Linked DNA regions of Ovis aries. The protein of the gene in region 1 purifies or fractionates together with the protein of each later gene. This does not show direct contact. Links are inferred from orthologs where the notes say so. Each region holds a gene or a part of one and is shown in the gene's direction. Other genes may lie near its edges.

The links. Proteins that work in one complex are often made in the same cells at the same time.
Region 2: the proteins of NTRK1 (region 1) and HSP90AB1 purify together in Homo sapiens (affinity purification with mass spectrometry; 3 studies listed by BioGRID and IntAct, with this or other methods). This does not show direct contact. The link is inferred for Ovis aries from reciprocal best matches to the Homo sapiens genes NTRK1 and HSP90AB1.
Region 3: the proteins of NTRK1 (region 1) and CDC37 purify together in Homo sapiens (affinity purification with mass spectrometry; 3 studies listed by BioGRID and IntAct, with this or other methods). This does not show direct contact. The link is inferred for Ovis aries from reciprocal best matches to the Homo sapiens genes NTRK1 and CDC37.

Annotation. Positions count from the first base shown.
Region 1 is NC_056054.1:106,801,808-106,806,111, forward strand, and holds the start of NTRK1 (high affinity nerve growth factor receptor), read left to right. Parts: upstream 1-1,500; 5' UTR 1,501-1,517; coding exon 1,518-1,807; intron 1,808-4,304. UniProt on the Homo sapiens protein: Receptor tyrosine kinase involved in the development and the maturation of the central and peripheral nervous systems through regulation of proliferation, differentiation and survival of sympathetic and nervous neurons.
Region 2 is NC_056073.1:17,733,386-17,737,434, forward strand, and holds the start of HSP90AB1 (heat shock protein HSP 90-beta), read left to right. Parts: upstream 1-1,245; 5' UTR 1,246-1,345; intron 1,346-2,686; coding exon 2,687-2,833; intron 2,834-3,145; coding exon 3,146-3,352; intron 3,353-3,446; coding exon 3,447-3,606; intron 3,607-3,753; coding exon 3,754-3,887; intron 3,888-4,004; coding exon 4,005-4,049. UniProt on the Homo sapiens protein: Molecular chaperone that promotes the maturation, structural maintenance and proper regulation of specific target proteins involved for instance in cell cycle control and signal transduction. Undergoes a functional cycle linked to its ATPase activity.
Region 3 is NC_056058.1:12,789,707-12,793,882, reverse strand, and holds the start of CDC37 (hsp90 co-chaperone Cdc37), read left to right. Parts: upstream 1-1,372; 5' UTR 1,373-1,467; coding exon 1,468-1,569; intron 1,570-4,176. UniProt on the Homo sapiens protein: Co-chaperone that binds to numerous kinases and promotes their interaction with the Hsp90 complex, resulting in stabilization and promotion of their activity. Inhibits HSP90AA1 ATPase activity.

The DNA of each region.
Region 1 (4,304 bases):
GGGGGATGGTAGGCCTAGAACAGGGCTCCCCCCAACCCCGCTGCAGCAGCGGTGGGTCCCTCCACCCCCGCCCCTGAGGACTTCTCCCAGGTGGGGTGCACGGCTAGCCGGAGCGGCAGGAAGCAGCCCCCATCCCCGGGGAACGGGTGGTTCTGAGTTCTGCTACCCGCTGCCTTGACACCTGCGGGGTAACAAACTAAGCTTGAAACCTGGCGGTTATACGACCCGTCTCCGGAATAGCCAAGCCCTTCGCTTCTCCGAGGCCCTCGCAGCCTGCTTAGGAGGTTTTTGGCGCTAGGCTCTGTCCCAGTTAAGTCCCTTGGTTCCAAACAAAATCGTCGTGGAAAGGGCAGTCACCCCGTGGGCTCCGCCTCTGTCTCGCCACCTTCCTGAATTCGGGCTGCTCGGTGGGTCGGTCTCTGTCTCTTTCTTGGGGAATTGGGGGGAAGATGTGTTCTGGAGCCCTGGTGGGGAAAATTCTCCCCTCGGAGGGCTTCCTTCGTGGGTTCCTTTAGAGTCCCTCCCCCAGGACTCCTCTTCCTTCCCCTTTCCCAGGCATGAGGCCCGCGGGGTGAAGGGGCTGGGACCCGTCCTCTGGCTGGTGCTAGGGACCAGGGGCTTTCCGGGTGCACGGCCTCCCTGGACCGACGTGTCCCCAGCTCCGCCCGCGGGCGGCTCCCGAGTCCGAGGAGCTAAGAGAAGATCTATTAATTTCTCCGCGCAGAAATCGATGCTCTTGTCAGAGCGGCGATCGATGCCTGCCCAGCCCAGCTTGGCCCTACCCTGCCTGAGGGCCAGTGCTGGCTGGCCCGGGTCAGTGGCTGACGCTGGGTCGCCAGGCGCAGCCCAGTGAGGGGCTGCAGACTGCGCCCCCACCCACCCAACTCCGGAGGAGCTCACCCCTTGCGCGCGGGCCGCCAGCGCCACCCTGTGGTCTCTCCTGGAAATCGGCGTCTCCGTTCCCGAGTCTCCATTCTCCGGCTGTTTGGGGGCGACATCATCCCTTTCTGTCTCTTCTCTTTTTCCTTCTCCAGCTCCTGCGTTTGGTTTCTTGGGAGTCCCTCCCCATTTCTTTCTAGGGTTTAGGGAGTATTTCCCCTAATTTATCCCAAGTGACATGCACACTTCCTCAGGTACGCGCACCATGCGTAGTGAGATCTGAGGCCGGGGGCTGGCTAGGATGACCTGGGCTACCACGGTTTCCAAGCTCAGTCATCTCCCCTCCCAGCTAAATGCAGCGGCTTTAGGCTGGGAAAAATAATGTATCAACTTCCCATAGCCCCATTCCCAGCAGACACCTCTGAGGCTTTCTGAGGCTGCCCCTCCGCATCTACTGGAGCTGGGGGACCTTGGGGGAGTAGGCTGGAGCAGGGGGCCTCGAAAAAGGGTTGGGGCAGAGTTCGCGACTTAGAAGAGGAGAGGGCGGGGTTGGAGACAGAAGGGGCGGGGCGAGGCCGGGCGGGGGCCTCTGGCTCCGCCCTTTCCTGGCGGCTGGTCTTTAACACCGCCCAGCGCACATGTCGGGGGAGGCCTGGCAGCGGCAGCTGCAAGCGCACAGACGGCTGCCCGGCCGCGGCGAGGCGGGCGCCGTCGCGATGCTACGAGGCGGACGGGGCGGGCAACCTGGCGGGCACCTCCGGGCTACAGGGCCGGGAAGCCTGCTGGCCTGGTTGATGCTGGCATCTGCGGGCGCTGCATCCTGCCCCGATGTCTGCTGCCCCCACGGCCCTTCGGGGCTGCGCTGCACCCGGCCGGGGGCCCTGGATAACCTCCGCCACCTGCCAGGCACCGAGAACCTGACGGAGCTGTGAGTGTCTGGCGAGCCAGGGGGCGCGGGGACAGGCGGGCATGGCCGTGCCCCGTGGGCGCGGACTCACCGCTTGCGTGCTATATCAGGAGGAGCGGGTGCGGCGGGAGACTGATAACACAAGCCAGTCTCGGCTGTGCCTTGGTTTTCCTCTGCTGCCCTGACAGCCTCCGCAGTTACTGCCTAGATGCTGGGCTTAGGGCAGCTTAGGTGCTAGCTTCGAGGAGAGGAAGGGGGGCTCTCTGTGGACCAGATCCGAGAGAGCCCAGCCTTCTAGAAATAGCTTCCTGGAGCTCAGCCAGGAGCCCACCCTCTGCCCTATACAGAAGGCGGTTATCTGCAGAGAACATTCCCCACCCCCAGTATGGTACCTTTACCATTTTCCTTTCCCAGGGATAAATCCTCCCGTACCCCCTTCCTTGTCATGACCAGGCAAAGTCAGCTGTTCTCTCTTGAATTGGAAATTGAACTGAAATAGGTGGGAGGCGCTGAGGGGCCATAGCTTGGTGGTTGAGCTCTCCTCTCCCCATTTCCACCATCTCTCCTCCCCACCACAGCTTGATTTGGAGGTAGGAAATGAGAGCCCCTCCAAGCTCCCCTCTCCCATCCCCATCTCCTTCACCACCCTTTTCTCCCTACTTTGGATAGGGAGACAGTGCCCTTGCTGAGAGATTCTCCTCCCTTCCAGATCTGAAACTGGGAGGAATCTTCAACATTTGCAGTGCTCTGACATCCTGCATTAATTGGTCACAAAATACTCAAGTACTTTTTAGCAACTGGTGAAACTTATGGGAGTATTCTATAATAATTGGCTTAGAGATACTCAAGTATCATATGATGGTGCCTGGAAAATACTTGAGTATTCTATGTGGCTGGTGGGGCCAGCTAGACTTCTAGAAGAAGAAAGGACCTGCTAGAATATCCTCCTCCTATTAGGCCTGGGGTTAGACAGTGGGCAAGGAACCCTGGCCTCATGCAGTAATAGGCTGAAAGGTATCTGTGGCAGGGGCTATCAATGTCTGGAAGTGACTTGAGCAGCCTACGATAATTGGCACTGAGTTACTCGGGTATCTTGTGGTAATTAACGGGAAGGTACTCCATCTTGCTCCCTAATGGCCCTAGGGAGGCCGGGAGGAGAGATGGCCTTGTCTTGGTCTGGACCTAGGTTTCTGCATGATGGGAGGGAGGCCCGAAGTCCAGACTGCCACCCCCAGTCCTGTGCATTTATCACTCTGGGTCTGCAAAGCAGGGTCCAGGCTTTGGAATGGTCCCCATCAGCACTCTCTTTTCTTGATTCCCTTTCAAGCCCCTTGTGGGTCCAGCAGGGGGGAAGTGGGAGTGGGGAGTGTGGGCAGGTCGGGGCCGGGGGGCTGGAAGCCATGCAGGGTGTGAGTGGAGCTGCCCCTCTGGGTGGGGCAGCAGTCTAACCCCTGCCTCCATCTGCAAGGTCCCCTCCTCCTCCTTCACCCGCAGAGCTAACGAGGAGATAATGGACTCGAATAGACAGATTGATTATGAATCCGAACGAATGAGGCAGCTTTGAGCACGCTTCCTGACAGTTTGCACACGCTCGGCCACCCTACCTTCTCACTCCCTCCCCGGGTCCCTCACCCACTCCTGAGGTCCCTACACCTCTAGGCTCTCTTGGCAGGAGCTGGGGGGTGAGTGGGTAGGACAGGGACCAACTCTCAGAGTCACTGGAATTCACTCCCTAGACCTCAGGGGACTGATGACCTGACACCTGGGTGTCCTGCAGGGGCCAAGTCTGGGAAGGGCAGGCAGTGTGTGTATGTGCGAGGAGTGGTCATTCAGGCTGGCCCTGGTTCCCACAGGCTGAGGAAGCACAGGGTAGAGGGAGAGAGTTCTGAGAACAGGCAGTGAGTCAGGAGCCCCTGTGTGTGTGCGGCAGGGGTGGGGGGCATTGTGGGGGGACACGACGTGGCCCTGCAAGGGCAGCTGACTTCTCAGGAACTCCCTGGTGTGTGAGATCCAGAAGCTGGGCAGGGCCCCAGGGCAGCAGAAATCCCCCAGCCCCGCATGCCTGCTTTTACTTCTTTCTTTCTCTCCCCACTGTCTTGCTTTCTCTGGCTCTCTCTGCTTATCTCTCTGTCTCCCTTTGCTTATCAGTCTTTCTTCTCGTCTGTCTCTGTCTCTCTGCCAGTCTCTTCCTGTCAGTTCCTCTTCCTAGGTGTCTCTGTTTTGCTATCTCTTTGTTTTTCTGCACAACCCGCGCCACCACCCCCACCCCCAGCCTTCCCATTGCTCTCTCACTGTGTGAGACGGCCAGTCGATGCCTCTTCACATCCCCAACTCTGACTCCCTTCTCTCATGGCCCCTTTCTCCTCTCTGGGGCAGGGAGGGGCTCAAGGGGTCCTTGACTGACAGCCTGTATGCCTGTCACTTGCTTTGCTGAAAGATGCCAGGGTGGGGGGCGGAGAATGGAGGGGTTTATACTTGAGTCTGGGGAGGGGCCAGTGGCTTTGAGGGGGAGAGGGTG
Region 2 (4,049 bases), on another chromosome or scaffold:
GCGTCCTCATGCTGCCTCCAAGAACTCCTGCCACCCTGCAGGAGTCCTGGGAGACCGGACTCTTCCCAGATCTAGGCAGCTGCAGGAGGAGGGAAGAGGGTGGGGAAAAAAAAGAAAAAGGAAGCCAGACTGAGAAACAACTCGATATTCAAGTCTCTGCGCTCCCTCACCTGTGGGCGGCTGGGGGTTGGGGGTGGGAGCGGTCCGTCGGGTAAGCGACCGCATCCCCAGTGTCTGCTCTCGGAAGGCGGCACCCTCAGAGCCGCCCCACCGGCCGGTGTGCTGTGTGATCGATGGGGGGAGAAGTGGGGTCATCCCCGCTCCACCCCACCCGGACGCAGTGCCCGGCTAGCTGGGTCTGGCGGGTAGGGTAATGGATCCCCTCTGCAGTTTCCTGGAGGAAATGTAATGAAGGTATAGCCTACTTGGACACCAGGATCCCAGCAGTGCGGTTGAGGGGCGGAGCCACCGCGGAGGCACAGCCCAGGCCGCAGAGGGCGGGGCGGGGCCTCAAGGGAAGGGGCGGGGCAGGGCCGCCCCGGCCGGTCTGGAAGCTGCTGGAAGTGTCGCAGCGCCGCCGCCCTGGATCCTTCCGCCGCGTGTGCAGTCAAAGAGTCCCCTGGCCGGCTGGAGCCAGCGCCCGGCCCGCAGCCGGAGCCACGCCTCGCCGCGAAACGCCGGCCCGCCGCGGGAGGGCCTGTATTCCAGGCATGCCCACAAAGTGGGACCTTTAATTCCGCAACGCCCGCGGAAAAGAACCCTTTCCCGTATCAGGCAATTAGAGTATGTGTAGGGCAGCTTCTAATGAGGAGGTCGAGCCTCGGAGCGTAGGGGGGAGTGGGTGACCCCTGTTTAGGCTTGGACCTTAGTCCCGAGGCTGGGACTGTCAGGAGTGGAGATGCCTGCCCTGCAGGTTTTCACAGAGGTCAGTGGGGAATCCTCGCTTCTAGTTCCACCGTTTATGTTATATGATTACTCCCAACATATGTTTCTGATGGTGTCCTGTTTTAGGAACGCGGAGACGGGGCTGTGAACAGGAGTAAATAAGTGTACTTGATCTCAAGGCCGGCGGCTCCCGCCTTTCAAGGTCCCCTCCCCTATTTTGGACCGTGACGTCAAGGTGGGCGGGCGGGCGGCGGCAGGTGCGCGGCAGACAGGCATCCTCCTTTAAGGCGGAGGGATCCGGGGGCGGGCAGCTGGGCGGTGCTTCGCCTTATATAAAGTGATTGGGGGCACACAGCCGTTCTCTCGAGTCACCCCCGCGCAGCCTTCTTGTGGCGAGTGAGCCCGAGGAAGCCATTGCCTGCTCGGTGTTCTCTAATACCTGTGATTGTTATCCTTGAAGGTAAGGCTCCTGTCTCATCTGGGCTTTTCAGATTAGCTTGTTCTTTCGCGTTGCTTTCGGCCCACGCATCCTTTCCGAGACCTACATCTCGTGTTGGGACCGGTTCTGGCGTAACGCTCCCATTGCTTCTCTTGGGGGAGGGCTGGGAGCGAGCTTTTGAGTTTAGACTCTATGTGATTGGCGGCGGGGCTGCTTTCCCGCAGCTATAAAGCGTTGTTTCGTGGGGCCGCAGAATGGGGCGGGGGGGTAGGCACTGCACGTGGTGGCCGCGCCGGCCCGGGACGCTGCCATGTTTGCCTCTCCACTTCCGGACGCGGCTACGGGGCGCCGGAGGGTCCCCGAGCCGGGCGGGTGGGCGCGCCCTCTGTGACTCAGCAAGGCTGGTCATGACCAGGTTTTGCCACTTGTTCTATCGGACACAATTTTTTTAAAGTCCTTTCTTTCGGGGCTTTTCCGTGAGGCTCTGCGAAGAGCTCCGTTTTCGGTCGCCGGCGGCGTATGTCGTGCTTCCTCCATCCTTCCAGATCTTTCCTGCGTCTCGGTGGAGGAGGGGCTGGCGAGCGGAGGGGGCAGGCTTTGGGATTCGTGGGCACGTCCCTTCCCCCGCCCCTCTCCGAGAACTGAGATTGTTCTGGAAGCTTCTGGAGCCCGGCGCCCCGCCCTGGTGCCCGGATGTTGGGGCGAAGGGAGGCTGCGCGGTGGCGCCCCCTCCTCGCGTGGTCGACGCATGTCCAGCCGTGACGAGAGTCGGCCCCGCAGACTAAGGCCACCATCTTAGTGTTTGGTTTGGGCTTGAGCTTCAGTCACGTGTGCAGAGAGGTCACGATGGAGCCCTTTCTTTATCGGTTCTTTGTCTTGATAGCCCACCTGGATGGGCATTCCGCCAATCTCGAGTTAGCTGTCCCTACTACGGGAGGCAGCAGTACCACATTATCTCCTTGGAGTTACCTAATGGGAGGACAGTTTTAAATGATTGCCCTTTAATGTGAAACTAATTACTTTGAAGGTGGAACGATAGTAATTTGCGTATTTAAATATATGGGAATTTACCTCGCTTTCGAGATACCTGGGTTGGAGTGCCTAACTAGATTGTGCTGATCTATGATTCACTTAACAGGAGTTTGGGTTCACAATAACTTGCAAGAAACATTAGCGCAATTTGTTCAGTGTGTTAGGTGCGCCCCTCCCCCCGTTGTTTCTAAGGGTGCTGCCTGAAATTGATAGAGGGAAGGATTTTCCAGTCTTTGTACCCAGCTCAAAACAGTTTGAATAGAGTCTCCTTAAGTGTATTGTGGCTGAGGGTGAACTTGAGGAGTCTTAAATTCTTGCTTTTTATTTTAGATGCCTGAGGAAGTGCACCATGGAGAGGAGGAGGTGGAGACATTTGCCTTCCAGGCAGAAATTGCCCAACTCATGTCTCTTATTATCAACACCTTCTATTCCAACAAGGAAATTTTTCTTCGGGAGTTGATCAGTAATGCTTCTGATGTGAGTGCCCTGAATGTCTTCATTGACGTTGGTTTTTTGTTTCTCAAGTACTCCAAGAGAGGGAAAGTGGGGGTGGTTTGGCATTTTGTGGTGTTAACTGATAAAGGGGGGATATAAACTTAACTGCTGTTCCAAAAAGTATTGCCTTGCTCTCTGTGGATAGATGGGATACTGTAACCCACTGGATGTCGTTCTCAACCTACAAGCTAAAGGAGTAATCAGAATTAGCGTATTTGGGGAGTTTAAAAAACTTTTTGGGTGAGATGGGTTTTGAGGAAGCAGAATTGTAAAACTGCAATTTTGTACTTTCAGGCCTTGGACAAGATTCGCTATGAAAGCCTGACAGACCCTTCTAAATTGGACAGTGGTAAAGAGCTGAAAATTGACATCATCCCGAATCCCCAGGAGCGTACTCTGACTCTGGTAGACACGGGCATTGGCATGACCAAAGCTGATCTTGTAAATAATTTGGGAACCATTGCCAAGTCTGGCACTAAAGCATTTATGGAGGCTCTTCAGGTACGTGGTTGGTTAGGCACACTCCATTTATATTATTGGTGTTTGCTTTGCCATTTCTTTGAAACTTGAGTTTGACTTTTAAACTTTTTGGCAGGCTGGTGCAGACATCTCCATGATTGGGCAGTTTGGTGTGGGCTTCTACTCTGCCTACCTAGTGGCAGAGAAAGTGGTGGTGATCACAAAGCATAATGATGATGAACAGTATGCTTGGGAGTCTTCTGCCGGGGGTTCCTTCACTGTCCGGGCTGACCATGGTAAGTTGGCTTTCCTGTTAAGGTGTCTGGATTAGCATTCTGGGGAAACACTAATGAAGATCTTGAGTATTGTATGTGTAAAGCAGTTATAGTTCTGCGTTTGTTTATTTAGTTTCTTATATTCTGTTCTGATTAATTTTTTTCTAGGTGAGCCTATTGGCCGTGGTACCAAAGTGATTCTCCACCTGAAGGAAGACCAGACAGAATACTTGGAAGAGAGGCGGGTCAAAGAAGTGGTGAAGAAGCACTCTCAGTTCATAGGCTATCCCATCACACTTTATGTGAGTATGGACTGGTAACTCAAGTGCAGGTAACTGCTGCTTGAGAGAATTGCATGGACTTTGGGGTTTTTTTTTTGCTTTTTTGTACTCTGAAACTGTCATCTTTGATACTTCTAGCTGGAGAAAGAACGTGAGAAGGAAATCAGTGATGATGAGGCTGAA
Region 3 (4,176 bases), on another chromosome or scaffold:
GATCGGGAGCCCCGCTGGGATGTAGGTCCGTGCGCGCGCGTACCCGGGCCTTGACGGCCGCTGTGATGCTGAACTGCCAGGGTTGGAGGAGGAGGAGGAAAGGGGGACTCCCCCGCCCCCGCCCGCCTACTCGCGGGTTTGAATGGACCGTGAGGGGGAGGGGCAGCGGCGGGCGGGCGCTTTTGTCCGGATGGCCCCACCCCTTCCCGGGGCCGGGGAATCCCCCACACCCCACCCATTTAAAGACCTTTACTCCTTCCTCTCCAGCGCCCCCCCAAACGCCTGCTTGGTTGGGGGGAGTCTGGAAGAGGCGCCCTTCACTCAAGTGGCTGAATCTCTACCCATTCTCCCTGTCCCCCGCCCTGCGCCCTTTAATCTGAGATAATCCTGGCCCTAGGCTGCAACGCAGCCTTTTATCCCGGTATCAAAGCGTGGGTAGGGATACATGAAAATGTGTGGCTGCGGTCGCCCAAGCTCAGTGTAATAGAGTTCTTAGAGTCTGGAACGAGGAAGGGGATCCCAGACGAAAGAGGGAGGGACTGCGAGGAGTCCCAGAGTACCTCGACGGAGAAAGACCCCCTGCGTGCGCACTTCCAAGCTCTTCCACCCCTCCCCCACCTGGCGCGGGGCACCCGCACTGGCCGCTAGTTAGACACTAGCGACACCCAGCGGATGCATGGGGAGCCGCCGTAGACAAGCTAATGAGGCCCGTTAAGTGCGGTCGGGTGATTCCAGAGGGGGCGTGTATGCGCGAATCCCCGCTAAGGAGTGGCAGAAGATGGGGGAGGCAAGAGGGGAAGCTGTGGTCCGAGCCAGGGAAACACCAGGTCTCAAGGCAGGGCCACATCGCCCCCATCTCGACTCCTCGAGGGCAGGGCCACAACCTTCCTTCACTTAGACCCTCCTAGAGCAGGGCCTTGTACCCCTTGTACTGGGAAGGTCCTTTCCCATCAGGCACCATCTCCAGGACAAAGTTAAGTCCCTCTTCACAAAAGACGGGAGCGAGGTCTTTTCGCCGAGGCCGAGCCCCAGTAGTGGGCTCAGGCTGACGTCACTGTGGCGTGGCTAAGAGGACAATCCTCTTTTTCAGTCTCGCCAACTGCCCCCTCTCCCAAGGCTGCCGTAAACGCCCACCGTGGGGTAGCGGGAGATGAGGGGGGCTCGAGGTTGGAGAACCCACCCGTAATTCCCCAGGAAGGGCCTAGTGGAGGCCGGAAGCCGGATGGGGTGAGGTCTCAGCGGACTCCCGAGAGCCGGAACACGTGCGCAGGGCTCTTTAAGAACTTGGTCGCCAGTGCCGCTGCTGAGGTTACTAAGGATGTGACGTCACGCGAGGGAGGGGTGTAAGCGTCAGGGCGGAAGCGGAAGGGGCGGGGCTCCGCGGGCTGTGTCTCAGTGCTGCCGCTGCCGCCGCCGCCGTCGCCGCCACCGCTACCAGAACCCTGGAGGGCTGGGCCCCGAGGCAAGATGGTGGACTACAGCGTGTGGGACCACATCGAGGTGTCTGATGATGAAGACGAGACGCACCCCAACATCGACACCGCTAGCCTCTTCCGCTGGCGGCACCAGGTAGAGCTCGCGCGCCCAGCCCCTTCCCCCACTCCCGGGACTCCGCTTCAGAGTTCTGACCCCCTGATACTGCCGGGGGGCCCCAGCCATTGATACCTGGGATTGCCCCCTACAGCCTGGACTTTCCGAATAGCCTAGGGTTCTTCGATTCAATTCCGGGGCCATAGAATTGCCGGGACCCCTGAGTTCCTTGCCCGCGATGCCGGCGCCGCCCCCCCCCCCCCACCCCCACCGCCCCGCGCTTCCAGTTTCTTCTTGAAACGCCAGGTTGACCTGTACGGTATATTTTTAGAATTTAGACTGCCAAGACAAGCTTTTGACGTGCCTCCCAATCCTGCTTGGGATCTTCCATTTACACCCAGATTTCTACCTCAGAATCTGGATCCTGAACCTAGTCGGGTACCCAGTTAAGATCTTGGCTGTTCCATGGCTCCTCCTAACCCCTGTGCTCAGTCGCTTCAGTCGTGTCCAACTCTGTGACCCCATGGACTGTAGCCCGCCAGGCTTCTCTGTCCGTGCGATTCTCCAGGCAAGAATACTGGAGTCGGTTGGCATTTCCTTTTCCATGGGATCTTCTCGATCCAGGGATCTTTTATGTCTCCTGCATTGGCAGGCAGGCTCTTTACCACTGGCCCCGTCTGGAAGTCCTCCAAAACCCTAGAGTTCCCAATAGTTTAAGTCTGTTCTGCGACCTGCTTTTCTGGATCCTTATGGTTCAGATCCAGAAGTCTTACTCCTCTGAATAAAATAATTCTGTCTTCCCCTGAGATTTCTGTTCCTGGCTTGGGACTCCAACCCACACCCAGGACCCCTCCCCTAGAACAAAGATTGGTACCCCCTCCCCCCAAGGCCCTCAGTCTCATCTAGGCCTGGAATTTTGAAACTTGGGTCCTGTTCAGAATGAACCACCACCTCCACCCTGATGGAGCCTCCAATTCCGGAGGCTCTTCTTTAGCCTCTGGTACTGTTAGACCCAATTTCCCATTACATCAGGAAACCCTACCCACGTGGCTTCCTGCCCAGCCAGAACCCCTGCCCCTCCTTGGTACCTCACACCCAGTCCCCGCCCACCCCCAAGACAGACTTCCAGTGGGAACCTTTGCCAGCTTCAGAATGCCACATTCAAACCCAAGTCCAGGACCCAAATCCATCCCATCTCCCTTCTGACCCAAACTTGGTGTGCTATTCTCAGACATCCACAATGACCCTGCTGTTACAAGGAACCCACCCATCCTGATTCCAGATTCACCGCCCCTTCTTTTATCTATTTTCCCCCAAATACAGACCCCCAGAATCCCAAGTCTGTATGTTCTTTCGACAACCTGCAACCCCCCCCCCCACCCCCGCAGCCGCTCAGCTGTGCTCACAGACCAACAGAATGGCTCTCCTGAGACCTTGTGTGCTAACTTCTTGCTCCACCAACTCAGAGCTCCTACACCCACATTCCAGGGGCTGCTTTGCTCTCACACTTATGGAATATACCTTCTAGAACTTTCCAGTTAGGAAAACCTCATTCTGTCTTCCCATGTATCAGCTTGCAGTTGTTTATCCAGAAACACCTAGAAGCGCCCTTCCTCATCCTGCTGAGACACAGTATCCGTGCCTACATCTAGTCCCAGTTCTGGGTCCAACCCATTACTTAAAGCAGCAGCCTCCTGGCTAGGGCTTCCCTGGTGGCTCAGATGGTAAAGAATCTGCCTGCGGTGCAGGAGACCCAGCTTCAATCCCTGGGTGGGGAATATCTCCTGGAGTAGGGAATAGTGACCACTCCAGTATTCTTGCCTGGAGGGAGAATCCCATGGACAGAGAAGCCTGGTGGACTACAGTCCATGGGGTTGCAAAGAGTCGGATACGATTAAGCGACTAACCCTTTCACCTGGCTAGTGTACCTGGTGGGAAAGCCACTGGAGTGGAAAAAGAAAGTTCTAGTATTTCTCTCTTGCCATATGTGACATTTTATGATGAAATATTGAAGCTCTCCGCAAAGCTTTAAAGCTCATTCTCGGGAACACCTATTCTTGTCACGAAGTTGATCTCTATCACCAGGTTTGGTCCTGCTGGTTTGGGAGGCCATGCCCGCTCTCATACAGCATCCTCCTCTCACCACGCCCTACTCCCTCCTGGCGCAAAACCTTTCCCTGTCCAACCGCTGAGGACCCAGGGCTGTCGTGGAGATGAGTGGAGGCAGGGAGCCTGGTGTCTCCAGCACGAGGTTCAGCTGCCAGTGACTGGCAGCCTGGGCTCCAGCCCTGCCACAGGACCATCACTGCTTTGGGGGAGCGAGCCCTCCGCCTCCATGAGACTGTCGTGAAAATGAAATGAGATTAGATCTTGAAAGAACTTGGCTCGGCGCCTGGGAGGAAAGAGTAAGCAATACCAAGAGTGGAAGAGGGGATTAGCCAAAAGGTAGCCTGGTACCCTTGTGAGCGCAGGCCTGCCCGACTGGGTTCATATCCTGCTCCTTCTGCATATCACTGACTTGCTGTGATCCAGTGAGGGTTTTTTTTTTTTTTTTTTTTTAATTAATTTGACCGCACAGGGTCTTAGTTATAGTGTGCTGGATCTTTAGTTGCAGCATGTGGAATCTATTAATAGTTCCCCGACCGG